4 linked regions of the Macaca fascicularis genome follow. The protein of the gene in region 3 purifies or fractionates together with the protein of the main gene of each other region. This does not show direct contact. Links are inferred from orthologs where the notes say so. Each region holds a gene or a part of one and is shown on either strand. Other genes may lie near its edges. The genes, in order: PRKACB, AKAP9, PRKAR2A and AKAP8.

What was found.
Region 1: the proteins of PRKAR2A (region 3) and PRKACB purify together in Homo sapiens (affinity purification with mass spectrometry; 6 studies listed by BioGRID and IntAct, counting the BioPlex papers as one, with this or other methods). This does not show direct contact. The link is inferred for Macaca fascicularis from reciprocal best matches to the Homo sapiens genes PRKAR2A and PRKACB.
Region 2: the proteins of PRKAR2A (region 3) and AKAP9 purify together in Homo sapiens (affinity purification with western blotting; 3 studies listed by BioGRID, with this or other methods). This does not show direct contact. The link is inferred for Macaca fascicularis from reciprocal best matches to the Homo sapiens genes PRKAR2A and AKAP9.
Region 4: the proteins of PRKAR2A (region 3) and AKAP8 purify together in Homo sapiens (affinity purification with western blotting; 3 studies listed by BioGRID and IntAct, with this or other methods). This does not show direct contact. The link is inferred for Macaca fascicularis from reciprocal best matches to the Homo sapiens genes PRKAR2A and AKAP8.

What each region holds. Positions count from the first base shown.
Region 1 is NC_088375.1:150,557,970-150,565,611, forward strand, and holds the start of PRKACB (cAMP-dependent protein kinase catalytic subunit beta), read right to left. Parts: upstream 4,113-7,642; 5' UTR 3,825-4,112; coding exon of another isoform or gene 3,779-3,824; intron 1-3,778. UniProt on the Homo sapiens protein: Mediates cAMP-dependent signaling triggered by receptor binding to GPCRs.
Region 2 is NC_088377.1:129,246,555-129,253,441, forward strand, and holds part of AKAP9 (A-kinase anchor protein 9), read right to left. Parts: intron 6,397-6,887; coding exon 6,196-6,396; intron 4,742-6,195; coding exon 4,509-4,741; intron 2,063-4,508; coding exon 1,977-2,062; intron 438-1,976; coding exon 308-437; intron 1-307. UniProt on the Homo sapiens protein: Scaffolding protein that assembles several protein kinases and phosphatases on the centrosome and Golgi apparatus. Required to maintain the integrity of the Golgi apparatus. Required for microtubule nucleation at the cis-side of the Golgi apparatus.
Region 3 is NC_088376.1:111,735,863-111,742,749, forward strand, and holds part of PRKAR2A (cAMP-dependent protein kinase type II-alpha regulatory subunit), read right to left. Parts: intron 2,439-6,887; coding exon 2,337-2,438; intron 2,164-2,336; coding exon 2,089-2,163; intron 1-2,088. UniProt on the Homo sapiens protein: Regulatory subunit of the cAMP-dependent protein kinases involved in cAMP signaling in cells. Type II regulatory chains mediate membrane association by binding to anchoring proteins, including the MAP2 kinase.
Region 4 is NC_088393.1:15,792,279-15,799,638, forward strand, and holds the start of AKAP8 (A-kinase anchor protein 8), read right to left. Parts: upstream 4,972-7,360; 5' UTR 4,918-4,971; coding exon 4,899-4,917; intron 4,657-4,898; exon of another isoform or gene 4,474-4,656; intron 4,464-4,473; exon of another isoform or gene 4,212-4,463; intron 2,521-4,211; coding exon 2,482-2,520; intron 464-2,481; coding exon 431-463; intron 1-430. Other genes in the region: AKAP8L (A-kinase anchor protein 8-like), read right to left, coding at 5,310-5,603, 5,691-5,786. UniProt on the Homo sapiens protein: Anchoring protein that mediates the subcellular compartmentation of cAMP-dependent protein kinase (PKA type II).

The sequences.
Region 1 (7,642 bases), on a different chromosome or scaffold from region 3:
ACTTAGGCTCTCGGAGCCTTTGTTTCTTCATCCATAAATGAAGGAATAACTCAAGTACTTTATAGTTAAAAAGATTAAGTAAAAGTTTATACATGGAAAGCATTAGATAACCCGGCACATATTAGTCCTCAAAAAATTTTTGTTGAACCTAGTCTACTGGTGGCTTTCTATGATTAATTCCTATTGACTTTCAAATCCATAGGACAGAGAAATACTCTGGAAAACATTCAAAGATCATATGTGAACACTAGGTCATATGGTAACTTAATGACTTGCAGTCATGAAAGAATCTACATTCAAATCTCTACCAACACTTTTCACTCATGGGCCTCAACATTTTTGCAATGAATGTATAACACAAAGCCCAATAGGCAACCTGGAGGTATAGTATTTTTTTTAAATGAAATAAATAAAAACCCCTCCCAGGTTAAAAGAAGTAGTGTGCTTTTTTGGTGTGTTGGTGACTGGGGCTGGTGTAAAAGGTAAAAGACTGGATAAGTAAAACAAACTTAACTGACAAGAGTTTAAACCTTCTCTGAGAATTTTATCATATTTCTAAAATTTATGTTTCTCTGTATTAGCTGATGTTTAAATAACTACATCCAAATTTTAAAAGGGATATATCTTCAAGAGTAATTTTAAAAACACACACTATCATATACTATTATGTATATAATAGCGCCAGTTATTCTTTCATTAAGTTTTGAGATACATCAATACAATTTCCTAATTCACTACAGCAGAACAACAGGTACCTAAGTTAATGTTATCTCCAAAACCTGTGGAGATGAAGATGGAATCTCACTTAGCCTTTAGGTCTTACCCCAGAAAATGTTAATTCTAATAGAGGGACCAGTTTCAGTAGAGTATAATACAGGCACCAGATAGTCAAAGTTAACCAAGACCCTTCTAAATTATCTTTATGCCTAACTTCAACTTCATTCTTCTGGAATATTTTTAGAACTAAGCTCTGGAATCACCTGCCTTTCTGAAGCTTGGTGCTAACTGAACCTGAAATCTTAACTGACTTGATATTTTTAATCAACTTTTCAAATCAAACATTTTCATACAGCAATTTTCAGAGTTCTAATTCCACTTTCCATAATGTTAGCACTTGTATTTTTGCCTTTCAGGTAACTCTTATATATATGAGTTACCCATTAGACAGTAACATGTTTTAGCTTTTACTTATAGTCTCTAATTGAAACTAAAACATTTGGTGAATATTTTGAAAATAAATGTATTAACTGATTATTCAGTGATGCTGAATGGAGTGCAGGCATCAGACTCTATTCCTTACTCGGTTATTACTAACAGTATGATCTCAACTCCAGCTTCTTCAGAGATCAGGATCTTTGAAAAGGAATGATTGTACAGGCTGATCTGTAACATCATATATTTCTAAAAGTTTTGAAAAACAAATTTTCAAGAATAATTCTTTAAAAAAATACACAGAACAGTTAGGTATGTAATGATAAGAGTTCTTTCATTAAGTTTAAAATACAATTTCTTTGTTTACTACAGAACAGCAACATATACCTGATAACATTGCTCCAAATGAAATTACAAACATTAATCAACACATGACATTTCAAATAATTTTCCCTATGACACATAACACGCTATTTTTTTTTTTTGGTCACTTCACAACAGCTTTTTAAACTATTATAATGACCTTGTTTCCATAAACAAAGTTACACAAAAAGCTGACTAATAAGTACTAGACTGTCATTAACACTTAAAACATAGGAAAGAATTTATTCATGGAAATAATTTAAATATGTTCAGATAAACATTTGAAGTTTCCATTCTGTTTTCAGTAAATATTCTGAGGTTATTTCACAGCTATGAGTTGCAAATTAATACTGTCTAAGGGAGAATTGTTTTGATAACTTAATAAAAAATATACAGGTCACAGGAGAGTCTACTATCATTATCCAAAATATAAACATTATACAGGTCAGCACTTGCTAATGAAAACTACTAATAGGATCATTCTCCAAACACTCTTTTGTAACACAATTAGCACGTTTTAAGTTTATACAGTTTTAAATTAACACGAAAAATGACAACATATAAGGTACAAATAATTCTTTACGCTTTTTGCATTTTTTATACTTCCTGTACAGTTAGTTACTATATTTCCGCAATTTTAAAAAGATAACAAAGGCCGGGCACGTTGGCTCACGCCTGTAATCCCAGCACTTTGGGAGGCCGAGGTGGGTGGATTACCTGAGGTCAGGAGTTCGAGACCAGCCTGGCCAACATGGTGAAACTCCGTCTCTACTAAAAATACAAAAATTAGCCGGGTGTGGTGGTGGACGCCTGTAATCCCAGCTACTCGGGAGGCTGAGGCAGGAGAATCGCTTGAACCCAGGAAGCGGAGGTTGCAGTGAGCCAAGATTGCACTATTGCACTCCAGCCTGGGCAACAAGAACGAAACTCCATCTCAAAAATAAATAAATAAAATAACATACATTCTACCTCTACAATGGTTTCTTTAGATCTCTGTATGACATACTGTGTGTTCTTAAATAGTTTATATAATAGCTCATCAAACTTTTCTGGAGCTCCCAAAAATTGATACCAAAACCTTACTGATGAAACATAAACCATATAATCTGATCTATTTATGTTAAACCAAATGAATGACTAAATCCTTCTAAATGAATTCTACTTTACTAATACAGAAAAAAAAGCTATTTCCTTCATGCTAAATTATAAAATTAGCCTAATTCTTATGTTACAACCATGAAAACATTACAAGTAATATTTACACAAACTAAAATTATCAGGCCCACTTTAAGTGCTAACATGTCATTCACTACTGGTGATGTAACAAATATCATCTGTTATTCGGCCATTCTGAATTATAAAAATATATAAACTTTACAAAGGCAAACCCAAGTTTTATTTCACGACCATTCTGACTGACACATATATACACACATATATATGCATGTGTATACATGCATACACAAACACACAGACACACACACACACCTCACAGCCATACAGAAATTCCATTTTCATGATATTTTACTTTTTGATGTAAAGTGTGGAGTACCCGCACCTTCAGCTCTCAGAAGAAATTAACCGTGTTCTGGAAGCACTTCCACTCCGAATGACCTTTAAGTTTTACAGGCATTGCAGCAGATCCTAGAATGTCTAGAGAAAAGGCAAACCTGCCTGGCTTTTTTCTCTAATGGATAAAGTTGCTGTTTGGTCTCATTATGTTTTCCATTCCTAATCTGAAGAGATGAAGGATCTCTAAGGCAGAGTTGTTCACTCAGGATTAGCCTCACTTGCGTAGAGCCAGACTAGCAGCCCCCGCCTTGTGATAAGGTTGGGTTGGACCCAAGTGATGGAGGGAGAAGAGCCAACCTTACCCACAGCACCACTACCTGTAGCTCCCAAAGAGTCGGCGAGAGGGGAAAGCAGGGGTGGGATGGCACTGGGGACTTCTTTCCTCGGACCATATTTGGGGAAGTGTTCCAGAATGTGTGCAAGTCCTCCTCGCTAGAGTGAAAAAGGGAATCCCAGGGAACGCTCTTCCCAGGATCCCCACATCCGGCCCTTCGCACTCAGCCCTCAACACGGAGCTGGGGGGTCGGAATGGAGGAGGAAGGCAGCTGGTCCCCCGGCCCCCCAGAACGACTCCCGGCGGCCGCTACTAGGCCTGGCCCGTGCCCGCGGCCTCAGGAGCTGCGACCCGGAGGGGCCTCGGTGCCCCGCGCCGGCCCGCCCAGCGGATACCCAGACCCGGCCTTCAACTCACCGCTCTCCACCTCGCTGCCTTTCTTGGCGGTCGCCGCGTTGCCCATGTCTGGGGCGATGGCAAGAAGGGGTCAGGGAGGGGAAGGGGGGCTGGGGCCGTGCCCGCCACTCCACAGTCTGGGGCAACTCCCGCTTCTGCACCCGTCAAAGCGGTGAGTGCGCCTAGCGCTGGCGCCCGGAGTCCGGGCAGGGAGACCGGGCCGGGTCTGAGGAAAGGGTTCCAGCGAACTCCTCAGCACCGGTAGCTGCGGCTGCTGCGGCGGCGGCGGCGGCGGCGGCAGCAGTAGCGGCGGCGGGCAGACACTCCCCCTTCGCGCGGCCCGCCCTCCCCGCGCGCCCCCGGGCAGCCGCGCGCCCGGGCTAGGCCCTGGCCCGACTGTGTCTTCGCGCGCGGGTGCGCGCGCCGGAAGTGACGTCGCCCGGGACCCCGGGGGCGGGCGGTGGACCCTTAGCTGGCCGAGCCCAGGGTTGGGGCCTGAGGTTCCGCTGACCGCCTCCTCCGCCGCGGTATCCCGGTCTAGTGCTCGGATGCCCATCGCTGAGATAGTGGGAGGTGGAGTGGGAACCGCTAGCTTTGCGGACGGCAGAGTCCCTCCTCAGCCTGGCGTTCCCAGTGCCCTGGAGTGGAGTCGCGGGATACCGTTCAGCGGCTCGGGTGGTTTTCCTTGTGTCCCGCCACGCGGCGGCTCCTCACTCAAAGACTGCCTTTTCCTCACAGCGCCAGGTCCGAAAAAGAGCCGCACCTTCGGGTTGGAGATCGCGCGCAAGGGTGGTCTCTGGGTCTGCATCTGCCCGGCATCGGCAGTAGGAAAAGCCTGGTCCCTAGTCACGGTCGTAGTTCGAGCCTTTCATTCCCTCGCACATTGAGGTATTCGCTGAGCCCACCGCGTTGTCCTCGGGGATAGTAGGCTCCAGTCACAAGCCCTATGTTTTCAGACTTCCCAGGTGGAGATAAAGGAAAATTTTACTATTTCTGCACAACTTCTGTTGATGTACAGCATTGTATTTAGCAACTTCCGTGTAGATCTGAAAATAAATACATTCCCAATTGTTAGTTGCGTTTTTATTAATATAAATCTTAGAATACTTGATTTTGCTGTTAGCTTTACTTAGGTAAATTATATGGCACTCTAGCATTTTTGTGGTTCCATTGAACTTTGCTCTGTGTTTTCCACTTATTACAAAGTCAAAATAGACTGTAACTTCCCAAATTATTCTATGTTCCCAAGGCACCAGGCATAGTAGGTGTTTTACGAATACCTGTTGACTTGAAATTTCTCAGGCTTTTAAAAAAATTTTCATTACTGACAAAAAATGGAGCGATAAGATTATTAGTAAACTTCCTATTATCACCAATTCTGTTAATGTATACTGCATTACAACTTCTATACGAATAGTAACTCATTTGCTCCTCATAAGAACCCTATGAGAGATGTGGTTTTACTGTCATCATTTTAGTTACGAGCAAATTAAGGCACAAAGAAGTGACTTACCGAGATTACACAGCTATTATCTGGTGGAAGCAGGATTTGAACCCAGGCAATTGGGCTCCAAAAATCTGATCCTTTGTCTCTTAATGTTGACCAAAAACTTGTGGATGTTGTGGTAAATTGCTTTCTCTCCATTTGAAATCCCATTGACTTGAAGTGATAGATGCATAGTGAGTATACGTCTCAAGGAAATGTATTATATTGTTTTCTGGGTTTCAATTCAAATAAAATAAAAATAGTGAAGCAAGGATTTGGACTAGATGATGTGAGGTTTTGTGTCGGCATACAACAGTGTCACAACAATGTCATCTCCAATCCCATTTAGTTTTGTGTTGTGGCTGTTATTTTGCCCCACATACATAGAAAGTTCAATAAATAGCACTGAACCACATGTATACCAATTAAAGACAACTTTTGATATTCTGTATTCTAGAGGGAATCTTTCTAGTATCATAGAATATTCATACTACTGTCATTGGGGTGAGTTTTAAATGTAACCTTTTTAAATAAATCCGCTTTAATGATAAAAGAGTGGTCGTGTGCATAATTTGGCACTTTAACATAATTTTGAATTCTAGGTCTCTAATAAGAGGGCTACCATTTACATAGTAAATCATTAATTTACAAAGGAGACATTTGAGAGCTATTACAAAAATGGATACAATATAACTATACCTGAAAAATTAATAAGTAAAGCAAAAAATTCAGCTTTACAAATTGTCTCCCCTTCTTTCTCAATTTAACTTTATTATTGGTTAAGGAAATAAGTTCTTAATGATAGAGAAAAAGTGATCAGCAATTTAAAATTTCTTGCTATTTTTCTTTTTTCTTTATACCACTTTTTTCTGCTTCTTATATTAGCTTACTGCTGCTCTGGTTTAAGGAAGATTATATTTTAAAAGTATAGTTTGGTAAATAGTTTTTAATTAGTTAACATCCATAATCATTTATTTGTAATTACAAACAAGTTGTTTTTCATTATTAGAAGAGTTTTCTATAGAAATTTGTAATTTATGTAGCATCTAAAAGAGTATGTTTTATGAACTGGTTTTCTAACATTCTGGAAGGGGCAGAAATTTCAACTGTCCAGTTATTCGTGAATAATTGGAGGTTCCATGAGGCAATTTCTATCCTTTGCCACCAATGACTGCTGTACCCTAGACAAAAAGAGATGGAACTATGTAATTTTGTTTCCCTAGGAAAGCAGATGCAGTAAGAAGGGACTCATTCAGAGAAAATACTTTTGAGTTCCCTTCCATATAATATTTTTGCTAATCTGAGAACATACAGCATTGTGTAAAAGGGAAAATTATACCAGTGGTATTTGCAAACCTACATAAGCCAGATAACTATCTTAGCCCCATTTTACAAATGAGTGGAACAAGAGCTCAAAGAAGTGAAGTAAGTTGGCCAAGGTCACTCAAGTGGTAAGAGGCAGAGCTCTAGATTATATGCTGTCACTCTGAAACACATAATCTAATCCTCATTAAGATTAGGTTTTTAAATCCGTATTTTGCAGATGAGAAAACTAAGGTTTATGAACAAAGAATCTTGGCACTCTTCTTTCTAGACCACCTCTTAACTCATGAGTGAGAAAAGGGGAGAAAATTAGTAAATATTTTTTCAAATTTATTTTGTAGTTTCTACTTATATTGCCAACTTGATTTCCAAGTTCTTTTAAAGTAAAGCACCCTCAAACACAATGTATGTCGGAAGTACTTGTTTTTCTTAAGAGTGACCAATAATGAAAAACAACTTGTTTGTAATTACAAATAAATGATTGTGGATGTTAACTAATTAAAAACTATTTAGCAAACATACTTTTAAAGTATAATCTTCCTTAAACCAGAGCAGGGGTAAGCTAATTTTGTTTTCATATAATATTTTACATGAAATAAATGCAAGTGAGAATTTAACCACTATAGAATTACAATTTTTTGAATGATAATCATCCACGTTGTCTAATATTTTATTATTGTATAGTATATACCAAATCAAAAGATACCACATGAAATACCAGGCAAAGGGCAAAGTAATATTTCCAAAATGAGGAAGTAATTTTATGGCCAATAAATTACAAGTACGATAAGTGTTTTAAATCATTCTAATACAGTACAAAGTTTTCTTGTTGGGCATAATTCTAATCCTTTTGTTCAATGATGAATTTTTTTTATCTGAGTTTCAGTATTCATCTTTTTGGATATTCCTTTACAGATAGGAAAACTAAAACAATTGACTCTTGTTGAGTAACCAGAATATTAACAAAATATGTCCTAGTGCCAAAGTGGAATTATAGCTTCTGTCTTTCACAGAGGAACTGGGATACAAACTGAAAGCTTTAAGGAAACATATATATATATATATATATATATATA
Region 2 (6,887 bases), on a different chromosome or scaffold from region 3:
CAAGCACCCACCACCATGCCCGGCTAATTTTTTTGTATTTTAAGTAGAGACAGGGTTTCACCATGTTGGCCAGGCTGGTCTCAAACCAGCTGGTCTTGAACTCCTGACCTCATGATCTGCCCACCTCAGCCTCCCAAAGTGCTGGGATTATAGATGTGAGCCACCATGCCTGGTCAGATTATGTAAATTACATATAACAAAGATGTCTGTCTCAATGCAAAGAAGTCAAAGCCCTAAAAATGTCCATTTTTCTCTGTTAAATATGAATACATTTAACAATTCCAGGCAGGTTTTCTCAAATTCTTACCTATTCTGAAATGGTAAAGGGGACCTAATATAGTCCAGATCTGATCTTGAGCGATACGTTGTGTGTCTTGGTTCTCCATATAGCTCCAGCCCACCAGAAGAATGAAAAAATGAGTCAGTCTTTTCTGCACCTAAAGTAACCCAAAATATTCCTTGTAAAGAAAAATAAAACCCAAGCCCTTAAAAAATTTCTACAAAATAGATAACTGCTCAAAAGACTATTATACTATATTATACCATCTCCTATTTATAGTCATTTCTTACTATTCTTGCTAAAGGAGAAACAGTGCAAACAAAAATTTGGCTTTCAAATGTTATTTTGTTTACTTTTGAATATGAGTATTTCTGATACCTGGAATTATGTCTCAAAGAAAATTATTTAATTGGCATACTTTCTTTTTTAAAGACCTTAGCTCTAAGTAGATGAGAGGTGAGGGGTGTCTGAGTATGTGTGGTTTGTGGGAAATGATGTGGATAAAAAATATTAGACTATGTAAACATTCCATTCTATTGACTTAAAATCAAGATTTGCTAACTTTTAATAAAACACAACTTATTATGGTACAAATTTCAGCTGTTTCAGTGTAATGATATTTCAAAATACTTTGTGTAGGGTACCAAAGCTATTTCCCCTCTCTCGGATGCTCAGCTCCTGGTAGAGGATGTGAAGGTGGTTTACTGTGAATACACAGCACAGGGATGCTGTGTCCTCTGTACCTCTGTGTGCTCCCCAGATTTGGACCTCATCTTTATTGCCAGAAATGTTCAAGCCCTAGTTTGTTTCCACTTCTAGGTGTAGAGAGAAGGAATTTTAGCTGTTACCATTATTATACAACCTCTTGGTAAACTCAGAAACCTGTTTGAATATTGTTAAATTATGAAAACTTCATAATTATTCCATATGACTAACAGCAATCCTGTCTTGAACCAGTGCCTTAAATGCAGTTATGAAGAGTATGGGCTCTGGAGCCAGACTGCCAGTGTTTGGTCCTGATTCCATCACTTCCCTACTGGCCATTCTGGGGCAAATGACATGTGTTTTCCATGCCTCGGTTTTTCATCTAAAAGTGAGAATAGTAACAACTGTATTTCTATCACAGGATTGGGAGAATACATGAAAAGAGCACAGCCCGGTGCAGACTAAGTTCTCCATGAAAATCAGCTATTATTATCCTCTTTAAAAAACAGTGAAGTTACCTAGTTTTGGCAGTTATAAGGGCTTTGTCTTTGGAAAACATTGTTTCCAGAATTCATTATTTGGTAAGTATTACACATGCAGTAATTCAGAGCAGCAGTCCCTAACCTTTTTGGCACCAGGGACGCATTTCATGGAAGACAATTTTTCCATGGACCCAGAGGGGCCGGAATGGTTTCTGGATGAAACTGTTCCACCCCAGATCATCAGGCATTAGTTAGATTCTCATAAGGAACACACAACCTAGATTCCTCACATGTGCAGTTCACAATAAGGTCTGTGCTCCTGTGAGAATCTAATGCCACGGCTGATCTGCCAGGAGGTGGAGCTCGGGCAGTAGTCCCCGCCACTCACCTGCTGCTGTGCGGCCTGGTTCCTAACAGGCCACAGACAAGTATGGGTCCATAGCCTGGGGGTGGGGGACCTCTGATTTAGAGAGTCATAAACATAAGAAAATATGCTATTTTGACTTCACCTTGATTCAGTCCAAAGCCATCTCTGTTAATATTGATGGAACCAGAACCTGTGACTCGATGCCACCGTCGAACCAAAAATTTCATTCTAAAAAAGATTCCAAGATAAAATTTCACAGCACATCTATAATGTAAACAGTATGTATACTTCCTACAAAAATCACATCATACATTTAAATATGAACATAGAACATATGTCAAATTTCACGATTGCCCAATTAAACTATGTCAATGCCCATTGTGACAAAATCAACTGGAACAGAGGAATAGGGATTCAAGATCCCCTTATCCCCTTCCCAAGAGGCATTACAGGTCTCTTATACTGTCAGCATCAGGTTCTGGCTTGAGGGATAAATGGGGTACAAGGAGATGGAAGGCAAAAGTAGATGGGAAAAGTAGGCAAAGAAAGGGTGAGAAGTAATGAAAAGAGAATAGAGAATAAAGGGCAGATGAAATAAGAAGTGAACAAAAAGACCCTTAAATTGGCAATAAGAATGTGCTGGGAATGCTGCAAGGTGGGTGAGGCTCTTGTCCCTTTGATTAGGGACAAAAAATGTTGGTTTCAAAAGGAATGGGAGTGTTAGCTTCATGAACCAGGTGCAGCAAGTTACCACCTGCCCCATTATGGCCCAAGGAGCTTTTGGAGCACCAGTTTTGATTTATTTTGAATCAGTTCCAAGGCTCCGTCTTAGGAGGGTCAAAATATGATAAACATAATCTTGGATAAGAAAAAGCAGGGCAGAGTGAAGTTTGTCAATAACAACTTCTACATTGCTTTCATGAAGCCTCTCTAGATCCCTCTAATCAAAATTACTAGCTAACTCCTGTGACCTCCCATTTATTTATTATATTCTAAGTTCTGTGCATATTAGTCTTCCCCACTAGAAAGTGAGCTGCCTTTAGGTATTTAGGCAGGAATTATTATTTTTTCATCAATGCATCTACCAGCACTTACCCTGGTTTAACTCTATACAAGGGGATGAAGGAAATGAAAGGTGAGAAAGAGTAAATGAAACCAGGAGACTACAATATGGAATATCAGAAGCAAGGAGGGTCTGAGGCCCACACTAAGATAAAACCTGTGTTCCTGTTTCCAGAGCCAGCATGAATGAGACTGGGGAGACTGAGCTGGTTGTCCCAGCTCTATCACTACTGGCTTTGTAACCTCTCCCTGCCTCAGTTTCTTCAAGTGTGGAATGAGATTCTAGACCAGGTGATCTCAGACAGCTTCCAATTAAAAAATTGTGCCATATTTTTAGAGAAAAATAAATAAGAAAAAAAGGGTAAAACTCCTTAAAGAAGCATCAGATGTGACCTGACAGAAAGAACTTTAAAAAGCAAAATTCCTTTAAGATCTGTCTGCCTCCTAAAAGGGAGGGGGATGCATGGAGAAGCCTTGGTGTTTGTATGCATATAACCAGGTCAGAAGAATGTAGTGGGCCAGGTCCTCAAAGTAGTTTGAGTCTTGGCTGCATGTCAATCACAGACAGAATGAATACCAGAGTTCTTTGCTTGGGATTACTAGAGAAAGAACAACAAAAGCACTAGCAAAAATCCAATGCCCTAAAGGCTAACCTCTGACTTGAATGCAGTTAGGAAAGGACCTTCCATAGCTGGGCACCAAAACTGGGTTATCTTAGCAATGAAGAAAATGAATGTATGCCAGCCTAAGAAGTAATTTGTCAAGCACATTTTTAAATGTTATAATCTTTTTTTTACATGTGTGAGCTTGTTCATGGGCTTATTCAGATTTTTTTTTTTTTTTGAGATGGAGTCTCCTTCTGTCGCCCAGGTTGGAGTACAGTGGTACGATCTTGGCTCACTGCAAGCTCCGCCTCCTGGGTTCACGCCATTGTCCTGCCTCAGCCTCCCAAGTAGCTGGGACTATAGGCGCCCGCCACCATGCCTGGCTAATTTTTTTTGTATTTTTAGTAGAGATGAGGTTTCAGCATAGCCACAATGGTCTCGATCTCCTGACCTTGTGATCCGCCTGCCTTGGCCTCCCAAAGTGCTGGAATTACAGATGTGAGCCACCACACCCGGCCTTTTTCTTTTTCTTTTTTTTGACAGAGTCTCACTCTGAGTAGCTGGGTCTATAGGCACCTGCCACTACGCCCAGCTAATTTTTTGTTTTTTTAGTAGAGACAGGGTTTTACCACGTTGGCCAGGCTGGTCTTGATCTTCTGACCTTGTGATTTGCCCGCCTTGGCTTCCCAAAGTGCTGGGATTACAGGCATGAGGCACTGTGCCTGGTCCAGATTGTTTTCTAAAAGGCAACCCTGACTGGATAGGCCAGCTCTGAGTCACCAGCTTCCTGGACCTAGGAAGGCCCTTTTCATAGTCTACACATACCCTGCCACTATTCCTGCTCAATGAAAACCTAGAAAAACAAAGCAGACATGCTTCAGTGATGGCACATACCGCCTACTATACAAATATAGAGTATAACCAGAAAAGAATAGAGGGAGAATTAAAAAGAACTAATCCTTTTAGAGAGTCTATTAGTAAAATGCATTTTCCTTCAAGTTCTTCACCTGGAAATTGCAATGGATACTCTGACGGCCGACCGAAACCTGGTGAAGCCCTTTGGGCGATTGGTGATCACCTCTAGATCCGTGAAAGCTGGCTGCCCCCCCATCCGGGCAAGCAGGGCCAAAGTGGCATCTTCACATTCCTGGAACCCACCCAGTAACAGCAGCAGATATTTCTTCTGGTAAATGAGAGCCTTTCGAAAACTTTCTGCCCTCAAGTATTTGCCATAAATTCTCTATATTTAAGGAAGAGAAGAACATAAAGACATTAAGAAAACATTCAACCTGCTCTCCAGGGGAAAATAACCTAGATTTTAACAAGTAGCAGTAGTAGTAGTATTGTAGTAACAGTAGTAGTAATAAAATGGCAGGTATCCTATCACTGTTTTCTACTTTATCAGCAAAGGTGAAATTTAAGATAAATTAACTAAGCTTTACACTTTTGCCTCTTTTAGTCAATGGAGTCTGAATAGTAATAGTTAGACTTCTTCTTTTAGGATTTAGCCCTCATTAATAATATTAATTGCAAATATTTTTGTCATCCCAATTTCATCTTTTTTTTTTTTCTTTTTTTAATTGTACAGAGCTATTTTCATTAGGGTCACTAATGTATTTATTTATGAGATGGAGTCTCACTCTCTCACCCAGGCTAGAGTGCAGTGGCGTGATCTCGGCTCACTGCAACCTCTGTCTCCCGGGTTCAAGCAATTCTCCTACCTCAGCCTCCTAAGTAGGTGGGATTACAGGCACCCACCACCATGCCTGGCTAGTTTTTGTATTTCTAGTACAGATGGGATTTCACCATGTTGGCCAGGCTGATCTCAAACTCCTGACCTCAGTAATCCACCCACCTCGGCCTCCCAAAGTGCTGGGATTACAGGTGTGAGCCACCGTGCCTGGCCTAATCTAACTTTTTAAATGTTAATGTTTTCTATCCCTTCAGAGTCATAAACTGGAATAAATGTTCCAAAAGTTTTTCTTTATGTTTTGAATTTTATGTTGACTGATTAAGGTAGTTTTAACAACATTCATTATTAGTCACTAGGGAGGCTTTCAGAGGGCTTACCATTTTACAGAGTATGATGCTCTTACATATAACATTCTTTTGGTCTATTAGGGACGAAACCAGGGAAAGTGGAACCACGAGCCCAGGATGCTGTCACTGTGACCATTAATAGAGGTTAATCTGGTCCCAGTCCTGGGCATGCCTTTCCACAAACCTCTGTGACCTGCATTCATGACAAAGACTGAATAAAGAGACCTAGAGACAAAACCTGAATACCATCTATTTTTTTTTTTTTTTTGAGATGGAGTCTCACTCTGTCACCCAGGCTGGAGTGCAGTGGCGCAATCTCGGCTCACTGCAAGCTCTGCCTCCCAGGTTCATGTCATTCTCCTGCCTCAGCCTCCTGAGTAGCTGGGACTACAGGCGCCCACCACCACACCCGGCTAATTTTTTTTGTTTTTGTATTTTTGGTAGAGACGGGTTTCACCATGTTAGCCAGGATAGTTTTAATCTCCTGACCTCGTGATCCGCGCATCTTGGCCTCCCAAAGTGCTGGGATTACAGGCGTGAGCCACCGTGCCTGGGCCTAAATTTCTTTAGTCTATTTATTTAAGGTCAGTGAGAGATGAAAGAAGGCAAAAACATAGAACAAACTGTGATGTTTAGATGGGAGATGTCTCCTACCTTTAAAGTGACATGTTCAGAATCAGGGCTTAGAGTTTGAAGTAAAGAGTCATTTCTTAGTTCAGCTTTCAGTTTGTATACTTCAGCCTCTGCCCTTTTCAAAGATTTCTGGAGAGTCAATTTTTCTCTGTTCCATACCTCTTTTTCAGAGGCAATGATGGCTTCAATGTTGGCACCACCATTCAATGAAAACCTGGAAGACTGCAAAGACCACAGACTACTTACATGATTTTTAAGAACAAGTCTCTGAAGAAAAGTCTGAGCTAAACATATTAAAGATAGCTCAATGATGGTGCAGTCTCAACTTTCTGACCCCACCTAGACAAAGTTCAAAGCCAATCTTAATTGACATTATGCATATACACTAACTCTAAGTACATGGTCCTTTGCTAAATACATTAGTTTTACAACTAAAAGTCCTTGAGAAAGCCTGGCCACAGGGAAGGTTTAGCAGATTAGCAGAGCTTTGAACTAAAAACATCAAGAGACCTAACAGACCATTTGGGTCCAAATTTTGAGCCTGTGCCTGAAATAGTGTATTGGAGAAGTGGGAAAAAAACAAGCCAGTATGTACATAATAAGTGGATTTCTATAAAAGGCACATAAATGTGTTATCATGTATTTAACCATACAGTTGTCTTACAGGTCTTTTCTATCTTTATATTGGGTGATTATGGAAACTAGCAATTAAT
Region 3 (6,887 bases):
ATGTGAGTGTGGGGGAGGGTAGTGACTGCAAATGCAAATACAAAACAAGGAACTGTATGGGTGATGGAAATACCACACTGGGGATGGTTACAAAACTCTTCCAATTTGTACACTTAAACTTAGTAATTTTATTGTATGTAAAACACACTGTAACAAAGCTGATCAAAAAAAATGAAACAACATAAAATGTAGTTTCTGATTCAGCAGGTCTAGTGGGGGGCCCAAGAACTTGCATTCCTAACAATTCTAACATTCTCAGATGATGCTGATTGCTGCTGGTCCTGGGATCTCACTTTGAGAAGCCTTGGTCCAGTGAGAGACATTGACAAAAGGGGCCTATAATAAGTCCCTTTTAATATCATCTTAATTAATGTCCATTCTGTACCACTACCTGTCTACCTTGAAGATAGATAGTACTCTATCTTCAAGAGCACAGACAATCAAGAAAACACTATGACTTTTCACATCTCCTGACATACTTCGTGAAAACCCAGCATGAGACAGGCCTAGAACCTTCAGGATGAATTGGAGGTCCTTTGAATGTTACTTAAAGCACCTTAAATTCAGAAGCAAATGTGGCCAGTTAACATCTCCCATTTCTGAAACTCAGTCCTACATTCTTACCATACCAGGATACCTGCTCTGAAACACAGCTCACACCACTGGCCTTTGCTAATATTGTTTTTTTGCTCTGAAGGACCTTCCCCTGATTTCAAACATTGTAATTGCACTTGTTTTTTAAGCCCATCTCAAATGGCAATTCCTTGATGAAACCGTATGTATTACTTCCATTTCTATGTTCTCACTGTCATTCATACACTCCTTCATTATAGTGCTTATCATATCTGGTCCTACCTATCTTAATAAATGTTTATAGAATATATCAATTTCTAATTAAAAGAATTATTAATAGTAAGGGCTCCTAGAAAACAAATACATTCAGAGATGTGACTCAGAGTAGACATCATATTTTTGTTAGTCCTTTATCTCTTCCAGGGGAGCTTTCTTTTCCCCTTTTATGGTAAGTCTGATTAGTCCTTGTGGTTCTAGTGGGGCCAACTCCACCCACAGGACCCACGCCTGACCAATCTGAGCCTTTCCTCCTCGTGGTCTCAGTACTGGGTTCAAGGATAAGCATATCACCCAACCTAGGCCAACCATGTATCTTCTCAGTGCTCTTGAGCCAGAACCATAGGCAGAGAAGCTGATACCTGGAAAAGTCCAATACTATTTATGTTTTATTAAAAATACAAACACAGTGGATAAAGAAAATTATTAGACAGTACTCATTACAATGATCTAGCCCACTGTTTAGTAATCCTTACTGTATCCCAAAATAACATGAGAAAAATGCACAAAGGAAATACCAGACATCTTACAAATTTGGTTAATCACTGAAGACTGTGGACTCTGATTTGTGTTAGATTAGCCAAAAGGATGCCTTTGTGTCAAATATAGAAAGTTAGAGGGCAGAACTCTTTAACCTTCCCCAGGTTCTAATAGCAATGGATGAAACTTACTCAAGGTCAAAAGAAAATGACATCCAAAGAACAAACACTAGAAGCCAAGGAAAGGTGAGCGGAAGCAAGTGATCTGCATGTGTCAGTAAGACGGACATCAATAAGCTTCAGGGGACTATATAATTGTCCTCTGAAGTGTGATCTATTACCTGGTAATAAGAGCTCCCAACAGTGGGAGAACATAGAAGTTTTTTTTTTTTTTTTTAATTTGAAATGGAGTCTCACTCTGTTGCCCAGGCTGGAGGCAGTGGTGCAATCTCGACTCACTGCAACCTCCGCCTCCTGGGTTCAAGCAATTCTCCTGCCTCAGCCTCCCGAGTGGCTGGGATTACAGGCGTGGGCCACCACACCCAGCTAATTTTAGTATTTTTAGTAGAGACGGAGTTTCACCATGTTGGCCAGGCTGGTCTCGAACTCCTGGTCTCAAGCGATCCACCTCCCTCAGCCTCCCGAAGTGTTGGGATTACAGGCGTCAGCCACTATGTCTGGCAAGATTTTTGAGATAAATGATGTACTAGTTATTCAGGGGTGACTTCCAGGAAAGGAGCTGTGTAAAGCCCTCACTCACCTGAGTGATTATGCGTTCTCCATCCTTATAGATCTTCTCTCCTATTACATCCACTATCTTCATTCGTTCTGACACCTGAAACAACAGACAAATTCAGAAATAAAAGGAAAAGATCTTAACTGAAAGTCACAATAGCTATACAACACAGAAATGGGATTAGAATAGTATGATTTGAACACCTAACAACAGAATAGTTTTAAAAGCTTTTCCTGATCCCCATGAACAGATTCTCATTCAAGCCACTTTACCTCTAGCGATTTAAGGAGGGGCACAGACTCAATAAATGATTCAAACATCTTCCTCTTTTTTGCATTATTTTTCACTATGATTCTTCTAAAAGTCACCCGGTCCTACAAGAAAGAATATGAAAATTCTAATAAATGCCTATATACAGGAACATCTATGGTTTAATAAACTGGCCAAAGCAAATATTAGAGGAATATGTAAGTTACTGTGTTAATTAAGTGTTAATTGATACTTTAATCTTGAGTCATCAATGGAAGAAAAGAACCTGTAGCCTGAGCCAGCCAGTTGCCCACATGCTGTTGTTTGCTATCTAACACTCAATAGGTGCCACCTATGGGTCATAAATAGAACACAAAACAGAAAACGCCTAAACATTTGTGAGCTCACTGTCACTGTTCAATGTCATAAAAGATACCTCTAGTGAGCTGAGATTATGTCACTGCATTCCAGTCTGGGTCACAGAGTGAGACCCTCATTTCAAAAAAAAAAAAAAAAAGACATCTCACCAAAAGAGAGAATAAAACAATCATTTAATCCTTAGAATCCAGAATTTAAAAAAATTTTTTAAATCCAAAACAATTAGATTGTTCTTGCCCTAAAAAAGTTTATAATCTTAATGGGAAGATAACACAAAATATCAAAATATGAAGCTTGGCTGAATGCAGTAGCTCACTGCCTGTACTCCTAGCATTTTGGGAGGCTAAGGTGGGCAAATGGCTTGAGCCTAGGAGTTCGAGACAAGCCTAGGCAACATGGTGAAACACCCGCTCTTCGAAAAAATACACGAAAAAAGTTAGCTGGGCATGGTGGCACATGTCTGTGCTTGGGTGGTTGAGGTGAAAGGCTCACCAGAGCCTGAGAGGTCAAAGCTACAGTGAGTTATTATTGTACCACTGCACTCCAGCCTGGGCAGCAGAGCAAGACTATGTCCCAAAAACAACAATATTAACAACAACAACAACAAAATACATAGGAATAAAAAGTCTACATTTCAAGAATGGGTGCAGTGGCTCACACCTGTAATCCCAGCATTCTGGGAGGCCATAAATGGATCACTTGAGCTCAGGAGTTCAAGACCAGGCTGGGCAACATGGTGAAACCCCATTTCTACAAAAAATACAAAAATCAGCTGGGCACGGTGGTGTGTGCCTATAGTCCCAGCTAGTTGGGAGGCTGAGGCTTGGAGAATCACTTGAGCCCAGGGGGCTAAGGTTGCGGTGAGCCGAGATTGCACCACTGCACTCCAGCCTGGGTGACACAAGTTGAAACCCTGTCTCAAAAAAAAAAAAAAAAAAAAAGTCTATAGTTCAAGACAGGCATATGAGCACATGAAATGTGCTTGGTGAAACTACAGAAGACAAGTGCTACATAAATTTCAAGGTAAGAAGGGGAGATCACGGTAGGCAGGAGTGAACAAAGATTATTTCGCCGCAAAAATGTCTGGGACCTGAAAGAGAGGTAGGATTAAAGTTAATGAAGAGACATGGGAGGAATATGCAAGATGGAAGGCAGGCATATGAAAGATACCTTGACTCTTAACAAGTCATGGATTCCTTTTGTTTTATTTTTCAGATGGGGTCCCCCATTGTTGTCCAGGCTGGCTTTGAACTCCTGGGCTCAAGTGATCTCCCTACCTCAGCCTCCCAAGTAGCTGGGACTACAGGTGCACAACACTGTGCCTGGCTTAGTAAGTAATGGATTCTGATCAGGAGACAATTAACCAAAGCCAGGCACTTCTCAGATATTTGTACACATGTGCAGGGAGATACCCATGAGAATGTTAATTGCTTAGTCTTAGATTCCTAAATGGGCAAGCAGTTATTTGTATCTAAGTTAACTACCTTTCTTCTACCTCAGGCTGTCAGGAATAAATATATATACACACACACACACACACACACACATATATATATATATATATATTTTTTTTTTTTTTGCTAGAAAGTATAACAATGGGCTGGGCACAGCGGCTCATGCCTGTAATCTCAGAACTTTGGGAGGCCAAAGCGGATGGATCACTTGAGGTCAGGAGTTCAAGACCAGCCTGGCCAATATGGTGAAACCCCATGTCTACTAAAAATACAAAAATTAGCCAGGCGTGGTGATGGGCGCCTGTAATCTCAGCTACTCGGGACACTGAGACAGGAGAATCATTTGAACCCGGGAGGCAGAGGCTGCAGTGAGCCAAGATCATGCCACTGCACTCCAGCCTGGGTAACAGGGCGAGACTCTGTCTCGAAAAAAAAATAAAAACAAAACAATATTTTAGGCTGTGTGTGGTGGCTCATGCCTGTAATTTCTGCACTTTGGGAGGCCAAGGCAGGAGGATCGCTTGAGGCTAGGAATTCAAGACCAGCCTGGGCAACACAGGGAGACCTAGTTAAAACACAAAAACAGGCCGGGCACGGTGGCTCATACCTGTAATTCCAGCTCTTTGGGAGGCTGAGGCGGGTGGATCACGAGGTCAGGAGATTGAGACCATCCTGGCTAACATGATGAAACCCTGCTTCTGCTTAAAATACGAAAAATTAGCTGGGCATGGCGGCAGGCACCTGTAGTCCCAGCTACTAGGGAGGCTGAGGCAGGAGAATCGCTTGAACCTGCGAGGCGGAGCTTGTAGTGAGCCAAGATCACAGCACTGCACTCTAGTCTGGGAGACAGAGCGAGACTCGGACTAAAAAAACAAACAAACAAACAAAACCCCACAAAAACAGAAAACCCCAATATTTTATTTATTTATTAAAACAAACAAACAAACAAACAAAAACATACAGGCTGGGAACAGTGGCTCACGACTGTATTCCCAGCACTTTGGGAGGCCGAGGTGGCTGGATTGTTTGAGCCCAGAAGTTTGAGAACAGCCTGGGCAACATGGCGAAACCTGTCTGCACAAAAAATACAAAAATTAGGCAGGCATGGTGGCGTGCACTTGTGGTCCCAGTTACTGGGAGGCAGAGGTGGGAGGATCACTTGAGCCCTGGGAGGCGAAGTTGTAGTGAGGTGTGAGGGCACCACTGCACTCCAGCCTGACCAACAGAGTGAGACTGTCTCAAAAGATAGACAAAAGATAGACAGATAGATAGATAGACACACACACACACCCACACACACACACACAGATAAAACAAAAGGCCTGGCGCAGTGGCTCACACCTATAATCCCAGCATTTTGGGAGGCCAAAGTGGGTGGATCACTTGAGGTCAGGAGTTCGAGACCAGCCTGGCCAACATGGTGAAACCTTGTGTCTATTAAAAATACAAATATTAGCCGGGCATGGTGGTGCACACCTATAGTCCCAGCTACTCGGGAGGCTGAGGCACGAGAATTACTTGAACCCTGGAGGCAGAGGATACAGTGAGCTGAGATCACACCACTGTATTCCAGCCTGGGTGACAGAGACTCTGTCTCAAAATAAATAAATAAATAAAAATTAAAAAATAAACACACAGAGGGCAGCAAAGTTAACTCCCAATATTTTATAAATCTACTTATATGTGTTACAAAGATTAGTATAACTGCAATAGCAAACAATATTTCGGCCAGGCACGGTGGCTCACGCCTGTAATCCCAGCACTTTGGGAGGCTGAGGTGGGTGGATCACTTGAAGTCAGGAGTTCGAAACCACCCTGGCCAACACAGTGAATTCCCATCTCTACCAAAAATATAAAAAATTAGCCAGTATTGGGCCGGGCGCGGTGGCTCACGCCTGTAATCCCAACACTTTGGGAGGCCGAGACGGGCGGATCACAAGGTCAGGAGATCGAGACCATCCTGGCTAACACGGTGAAACCCCGTCTCTACTAAAAGTACAAAAAAAACTAGCCAGGCGAGGTGGCGGGCGCCTGTAGTCCCAGCTACTCGGGAGGCTGAGGTTGGAGAATGGCGTAAACCCAGGAGGCGGAGCTTGTAGTGAGCCGAGTTCGCGCCACTGCACCCCAGCCTGGGTGACAGAGCAAAGACTCCGTCTCAAAAAAAAAAAAAAAAAAAAAAAAAAAAAAATTAGCCAGTATTGTTGGCACATGCCTATAATCCCAGCTATGCGGGAGGCTGAGGCAGGAGAATCGCTTGAACCCGGGAGGCGGAGGTTGCAGTGAGCCGAGATCATGCCACTGTAGACTCCAGCCTGGGCGACAGAGCAAGAGTCCATCTCAAAAACAACAACAACAACAACAACAAAGTTCTAACTAAAGAGAAAACAACAAATATCTCTTAAAGCGACTTTTTTTTTTTTTTTTTGAGATGGAGTTTCGTTCTTGTTGCCCAGGTTGGAGTGCAATGGTGCAATCTTGGCTCACGGCAACCTCCGCCTCCCAGGTTCAAAAGATTCTCCTGCCTCGGCCTCTGGAGTAGCTGGGATTACAGGCATCGCCACCATGCCCAGCTACTTTTGTATTTTTTAATAGAGACAGGGTTTCTCCATGTTTGTCAGGCTGGTCTCGAACTCCCGACCTCAGGTGATCCACCCGCCTTGGCCTTCAAAGTGCTGGGATTACAGGCATGAGCCACTACACCCGGCAAGTGACTTTTTTTTTTGAGAGAGAGTCTCACACTGT
Region 4 (7,360 bases), on a different chromosome or scaffold from region 3:
CATCATTTCACACTGCACTGTGACCTGCCAAGAGGCAGCAGGAGGTGGCCAAAGAAAGGGGCAGCCTCAGGGCCAAGCAGTGGGTTTTCCGTGCCAGACTCTAGGACCTGTTCCCCATTCTAAGCCGGGTGACTGCGTCTGGGAACAGCAGTTCCGGCTGCTGACAGGCCCCATAAAGGACCGCTGCTGCCAGAGCACAGTCCCAGTCCTCCCCATCATGCTTCCCTGAAGCTGCCCACCACAGCCGTCTGCAGCCGCCCCAGCCCACCAACCGCTCCGTATTCACAACAGCAGCCCGGGCTGACTGTGTCCTCAGGAACAGAGCCAGGAAGTCCACGCCAAACCTCCCTGATGGGCTGAACCTACTTGGCCTTCAGATCAGAGGCCCACTCGCCCACCCACAGACCCCCCCCGGCACAGAAGGGCTTACCTTGCCAGCTGGCCACACCAGTTCCATATGCACCTTAGGGGAAACAAAAACACACAAGAGCCCTGTTTGCAGAACGAAGGCACTGACACCCCAGCTGTCACCCCGCTCCACCCTCCACAGTCCCAGGGCCAGGGCTTCCCTCTGCAGCGCTCAGGGAGGCACCCTTGGGTGTTCTTAGCTCACTCAACTCCTACAGAGCACTAGGCTGAGCACAAGCCAGCCTTCTCCCGTGCAAGGCCAACTTCCCGTCAGGGCAAGGGAAGGGATGCTGCACGCTCCCCAGGAAGCTCGTCTACTGTGGGCTGCTGGCCAAGAGGTTGGCCGGGTCAGGCCCCAGGCAGAGTCCTCGTAAAGGGCCAGTTCCCACCAGAAGCCAGAGTGCAGGCGCTGCCAACTGCACAGCTAGGCATTGGTGCAAAGTCACGTCCTCAACTCAAGCGAGCAAGAGGACGTTATGTGCCTCGAGCGACTTCGAAGGCCTCCCCCTGAAACACCGGGGGGTGGTGGCTCGAAAAGCAGCCCCACTCCCCATATTGCTAGAGACAGATCTCAGACTCAGAACACAAAGGAAGCCCTCGTGCCCTGGAACACGGGCTGGCAGAAAGCAGAAAACCTTGCCAGCAGAGAGCACACAACGGCCCCCCAAACAAGCCTAGCATCGTGACCCTGACTCTAGAGTGGGGATCTGCAAAAAGTCAGGCCACACGGAGCCCACTGCCCACCTTGGCACAGCCCTTGTGATTTTCGAATTTCAGTGCTCATAAGTAAGTACCAGCACACTGCCTGTAGCCCTGTGTTCTCAGGCTCTGCCCTCAGCGAAGGGTGAATTTTACGTTTTTAAATGGTTGGGGTAAAGCTTCTAAGGTATATTCAATGACAAATTTTGACATGAAATATATCACTGACACATTGGGTCAAAACTCAGAGACTATGCAAATTAAGAAAAACTATGAGCTATAGTGAATAATATCACATAAACACTGAAACACTGGCTAATTAATTGTAACAAATGCATCACACTAATGCAAGATTTTTTTTTTTTTTTTTGGAGACAGGGTCTTGCTCTGTCACCCAGGCTGGAGTGCAGTGGCTCACAGCTCACTGCAGCCTTGACCTCCTGGGCTCAAGCAATCTTTCTACCTCAGCCTTCTGAGTGGCTGGGATTACAGGCACGCACTGCCACGCCCTACTAATTTTTTATTACTAGGATAAAAGGATCACTTGAGCTTGGGTCTCGAACTCCCAGGCTCAAGTGAGCCTCTTGCCTCAGCCTCCCAAACTGCTGGGATTACAGACATGAGCTGCCTCACCCAGCTAATGAAAGATCTTACTAATGAGGCTGGGTGTGGTGGCTCACACCTGTAATCCCAGCACTTTGGGAGGCCAAGGAGGGCTGATCACGAGGTCAGGAGTTCGAGACCAGCTTGGTCAACATCGTGAAACCCTATCTCTACTAAAAATACAAAAATTAGCTGGGCGCGGTGGTGGGTGCCTGTAATACCAGCTACTCAGGAGACTGAGGCTGCAGTGAGCCGAGATCACACTCCTGCACTCTAGCCTGGGCAACAGAGCAAGACTCCGTCTCAAAAGAAAAAAAAAATCGTACTAATGAGAGACACTACACCTGAGTAGAGATATGTGGGCCTATGAAACTCTACTACTAAATCTAAAGCTGTGCTAAAAATCTGTTAATTATAGAGAAAAAACACCTTGGATATACCCTCAGCTATTTACTCAGAATAAAAATATTTTGCCAAAATAGAGGATTTAATAACACACAAAAATTATGATCTTCGAATTATATTGTCTATAAGTAACTATTGGCATTGTCCCATCCACTCTTTCACACATTTATGACTGCTTTCCTGCTACAGAGACTGTGGAGCTCATAAAGCCACAAAGATATTCACCATCTGATCCTTTACACAAAGTTTGTTGACCCCCGCTACCACCTCCCTTGACCCTGGTGACCATCAGGTTCAGCTCTGCCATGTTAGGGCCTTGAATGTAGGGGAAGCCCACGCCTCACCCGCAAAGCAGAGCCCACTTACCCTGGGTGTTGGCAGGTCCAGCACTCCATGCCCCATAGCCTGCAAGAAGACCCCCGTGAGTTAAGATTCTATTTGTCACACCAGAGAACGGGTCCTTTTAGGGGTACTCCTAAATGGATCTCCTTACAGTTCAGTGTCAGCCTTACAAGAAGGAATACCCCCCCCAACACACAAAAAAGCCACCCCACAGCTGGCTAACGGCATCATCGCATTCCACTTGGCTGAGATCAAAGCAGAAAAAGAAGGGTGGGAAGTGGGCTTGGAGGTCAGCTCCGCCTGCAGAGGGACCTTGGCCAAGTACCTCACCCCTCCAAGAGTCCATCCACAACTGAGGCTAACACAAGACAATCCATTCAGCATGAGGACACATTCCCCCACCCACCACACAGCCAGGAAACCAGTTCCGACTACTATCACAAGTACCCTGTAACTGAGAACAAGCATGGGAATTTGGTGACATAAACTGCATCTCTCTAAGCCGCACTTCCTATCACTTTTAAGCCCTCCACGGATCCCCTGGACCTTTAAGTCCCAGGGCCTTGGCCTGGCCCTAAGGCATCAGACTGCACTCTTCGACCCTCCCAACACCCCCCACCCACTATGGGATCTGTCTGGTCCCTCCAGGAAGGAGGATGGGAACTGTGTTCTCTTCATTTCTGTGTCCCTGGGGCCCAGCACTCAGCTGCGCGCGGGTGGCCACCATGCCTGTTAAATGACTTCACTTTGATGAGGCAGGAACATACCCATGTCTCCCTCACCAGAACAAGCCCCGCCGCTAAGTGCCTAGTGTGTGCCGATACACTGCAAGCACCCAGCAAACCCTGTTGTCCCGAAGGCCATTCAGAGACAAGGGAGCTAGGCTCATGGGTTACGAGACTTGACCCAGTCATAACCGCTGAGTTTTGCCCTCTGCTATGCTATGCCTTCCCCTCCGTCATACCGCAAAGCCTTCTAAATTTGCATCCGTGCAACAGAAAGGCAGACTGCAGATTCTAACAGCAAGTAACCAACCTCGAGAGGCCGCTTCCCTGTGAAGCTCTAGTGTAAGCAGCACGCATTATTAACCTTAAAACGCTCCCCGAAACACAAGAAATCGGGGAAGCTGAACTATCTCCACTGTGTCTGAAAGGTTTTCGGGAGGTAGGAAAAGGGGATTTAAAAAACCTCTCCAAACTAAGACTGAAAAAGACAATACCGGCAGAAAAGATCTGATGGGAAGGAAAGGACAGAATGGTGAAATCTACCCAGGCTGTGGCAGACCAGGAGAGCCTTCGCTAGGACCCGGAAGACACCAAAGCACACCGCGCACGCTGCCGCCTCAGGACCGACCGCTCTCCTGTCTCTGCAATTTCTGGTGATAGGATAATTTTGCCCTGCCACTTCTCAAGATCGACAACTTCTTGAGCTCCTGCAGCCAGGATCAGACCACTAGCTTCTCTACACCCAGTCGAGCTCCACCCAGCGTGTCCCAACTATCCCCTGTGGGCAAACTTGGCTCCCAGAAGGCTCTGATTCCAGAGCCGGGGAGCAGGAAGCTCGAGAAAATCGGCCCTACTGCAGGCCAAGCGCTAAAGCCAAGCGGGGAAAGGACACGTTCCCTCTTGCACAACCCCTTGGCCCCTCCAAGCCACCGCAACGCACTGCCTACATGAGAATGGCCAATCTGTCACCAGCCCCAGGGCACAATCAGGTTTCCAGCTTTATACAAACACTCAGCATCTGCCCCTCACCATCCTGTCCCACGCCAGCACGCGCCGGCTACAGAGCTGGAGCCCAGCGAGGCTGACTCCCGCGCCGGCCGCACTCGGCCTCAATACGCAGCACCGGGGATTAAAGGCCCGACCCCGCGCAGCCCGACGGCTTCCGGGACAGGCGCCCTGGGCCTTGGGAGCCCAGCAGAGGCCCCAACCGGCCCCGAAGGCCTAGGGCAGGTCAGGAGAGGCGGCCCCAGCGGTCCACCCGTGGCCCCAGACCCAGCGCCCGGAGCCCGACCTCAGGACCCCACGCTGTAGCTCCGCCCCCTAGCGCCGCCATTTTGTGGCGTCTTCGGAAGAGGAAGCCGGGAGTGCAAACCCCGGGGTCGCCGGGGGCCGGAAGGGCCCCGCCGAAGGTGAGGGACAGAAACGGCCCGCACAGCCCAAGGCGCCCCCCATGAAGCCCACCGCGGCGTCTGCCCCAACCCCGAGTCCCGCCCGCCTCTTCGGGCCCTGGCGGCCAATCCGCACGCAGCGCCCCGGGAGCGACGGCGCCAAAGCCCAATGAGCGGCGCGCGCGCGCGCTCTGGCCGCCTCTCTGCAGGGCCCGGCTGCGGCAACCACACTCCGGACGAAGGCCCGGCCCGCGGCCGTCTGCGCAGCGGCTGCGTGGCTCGCACTCAGCCTTCGCTCCCTACTCTGCACCCAGCAGCCTACACAAACCTCCGTAGCCCTGGTCCATGTCTTCAACGCGGCCCACCAGCAGCCCCTTTTACTAGGAGACCACAGCACGCATGCGTTCAACGCACCTCCGCCGTCGACTACTGGAAGACTAGGCGCACACGTCACTACTTCCGCGCGCTCCCATTGGCTGGCATTCACGAGGGTCCGCCCTCACCGTCCCAGCTAGCCTTTCGGGCTGCGAAGCTCCACCTCCGCAGCCTGTCGGGAGTTGTGGTCCCGCAGCGGTGCCCGAGGGCCCGGCCCGCGCGAATGCGCGCCCCGCCTCTCGGCCCGCGCCCCGCCCGGCCCGCGCGGCACCATAACAGAGAAACCGGGAGGTGGGATGGGAAAACTTTATTAGGTTTGGCTTCCAGCTTCGGCCACGCGGGCCCCGCCCGCCCCGAGCTCGGGTCACGGGACGCCCCCGCCGCCCTCCTCGTCGTCCTCAACGTCGAGGCCCGGGATGCCGCGGATCTGGCGTTGCAGCGCCCCTCCCAGCAAGGGCACGGCGCCCTCCTCCTCCTCCTCTGGGGGCGGCGGCGGTGGCGGCGACACGGCGCCGGGGGCTGGCTCTGGGGGCACGGGAGGCTGCGCCGGCGCGCCCTCTGCACCCTCCGAGACCCCTGCCGCTTCGCCCTGTGCCCCCTCGTCCAGGGCACCGCCCTCAGCCTCCTCCTCGGGGCTGTCGGTGAAAGGGTTCTCGCCCTGTGGGGAGGGGCGCGGACACTGAAGTGAGGGAGCACAGGCAGGGACTGAGGTGGGGACAAGCCCAGGCCAGGACCAGCGCCTCACCTTCAGGTAGCGCTCCAGCTTCTTGCTGATGAGCTTGTTGTTGAGAATACTGCGGGCCACCATGAGCGAGGACTTCTTGGACTGCTCCATCATGAGCTGCGGGCAGGGCAGAAGGGGCTGGAGAGGCTGCTCTGAGTGCCCTACAAGTTCCCGCCCCGACCCTGCCAGTTTAGAGGGACGCCCCCCTGCCCCTCCACCCACGCTTCCACCCGCTTCCACCCGGAGCGCAGCCCCACCAACGGAGGGCCACTCTACAAGCATGGAACCACAACCTATCTGATCTTTGTTCAAATTCCTTCTCCTTCCACACCACACTTACTGTAGGTAATTAAAAATACAGATCTATAGATCTCTATATATCTTTACGGCTGTATTACAGAAATCTGATTTGCTTACAAAAAAGCTATAAGCAGTGAACAAATTAAGAAACTAAGAGCCAAAGGTGCAACCCATAACAAGGTGCCAACTAGGCTAATAGGCAAGGAGCACTTTGGGACCAACGGGGAGGGTATAAAAGCAGGAACAGATATTTAATCAAACATGTCTTTTTAACCCACAGAATTCCAAGAATGAAGAATTATTCCCAGTCATGCAAGGTTGAAGAGACACTTCTATGCTGCTGGGAGGATCAACTGTTTCCATATTTTTTGGAAAGCAGTTTGACAGAATGTATGAAAAGTAAAAATCTGTTTCATTAATCCCTTCCCAGAACCTATCCTAAATTTAAGAATTGGAAACATACGTGCACACTGATTGTAGTGGTGAAAAATGGGAAAACACCTAAACGTTCCTCAGTGCAGAAAAGGTTAAATAAATTGTACATTCAAAAGAACGTCATGCAGCCCTTCAAATCGGGCTCATCTCTCCAATGGCAAAAGAAAGGTGTATAATATAGTACTGTCTGCAAAGCATGCCAGAGCCATTTTGTCTGGAAGGATTTCCGTCAGTATGCGGGGCCATTTCCTCATGGTGGGAGTACAGGCAAATCTCACTTTGATCATTATAAAAACCGTAAGCTAAAAGGAGGATATTTTTGGCGGGGTGGGAGAGCCCACTGAGTCCCGCCCACTCCATTTACATGTTTCAGAAAGCCTTCTCACTTGCTGCTTCTACTCTCTCCATCTTCATTTTTTTTTTCCTTAGCACGTTTTCTCTACTACTGGAGGAAAATATTAACAGACATCATACATGCTCATAACAAACTAAAGATACACAATTAGGATGCTACTATAGACCGTTCCTCAGTGACTCTTTCTCACTTGCCAACACTTTATCCTCCTAGCTCTGGATGCCCAGATGACCACACCATAAATTCTCCCAACTGAGGCACATTTATATTGCTTCCACATTTTCTCCACAATAACCCAGCAACACCAGAATAAACCTGTACACTTCCATGCTGGTGCTTTTAATTCTAACCAGGTTTGGTTTCAAAGTGATAGTGCCCAATTAACTGCAAAACATTTCCAAGTCATGCTGCTTCCACCTGTGTTAAAAACAGTGACCTGGTCCTCCTGCCTGCCCATCAGCACTGGATGTTGTCACTGTGGGGTATTTTTGCTGTGGATGAAAGACAGAAGAATCTGTGCTGCTGCTTCCCACGGCATTTCCCTGTCCACCGGCAACTGAGTGCTCTGGTAAGCACACTGGACCACCCGCCCAGAGTCTGT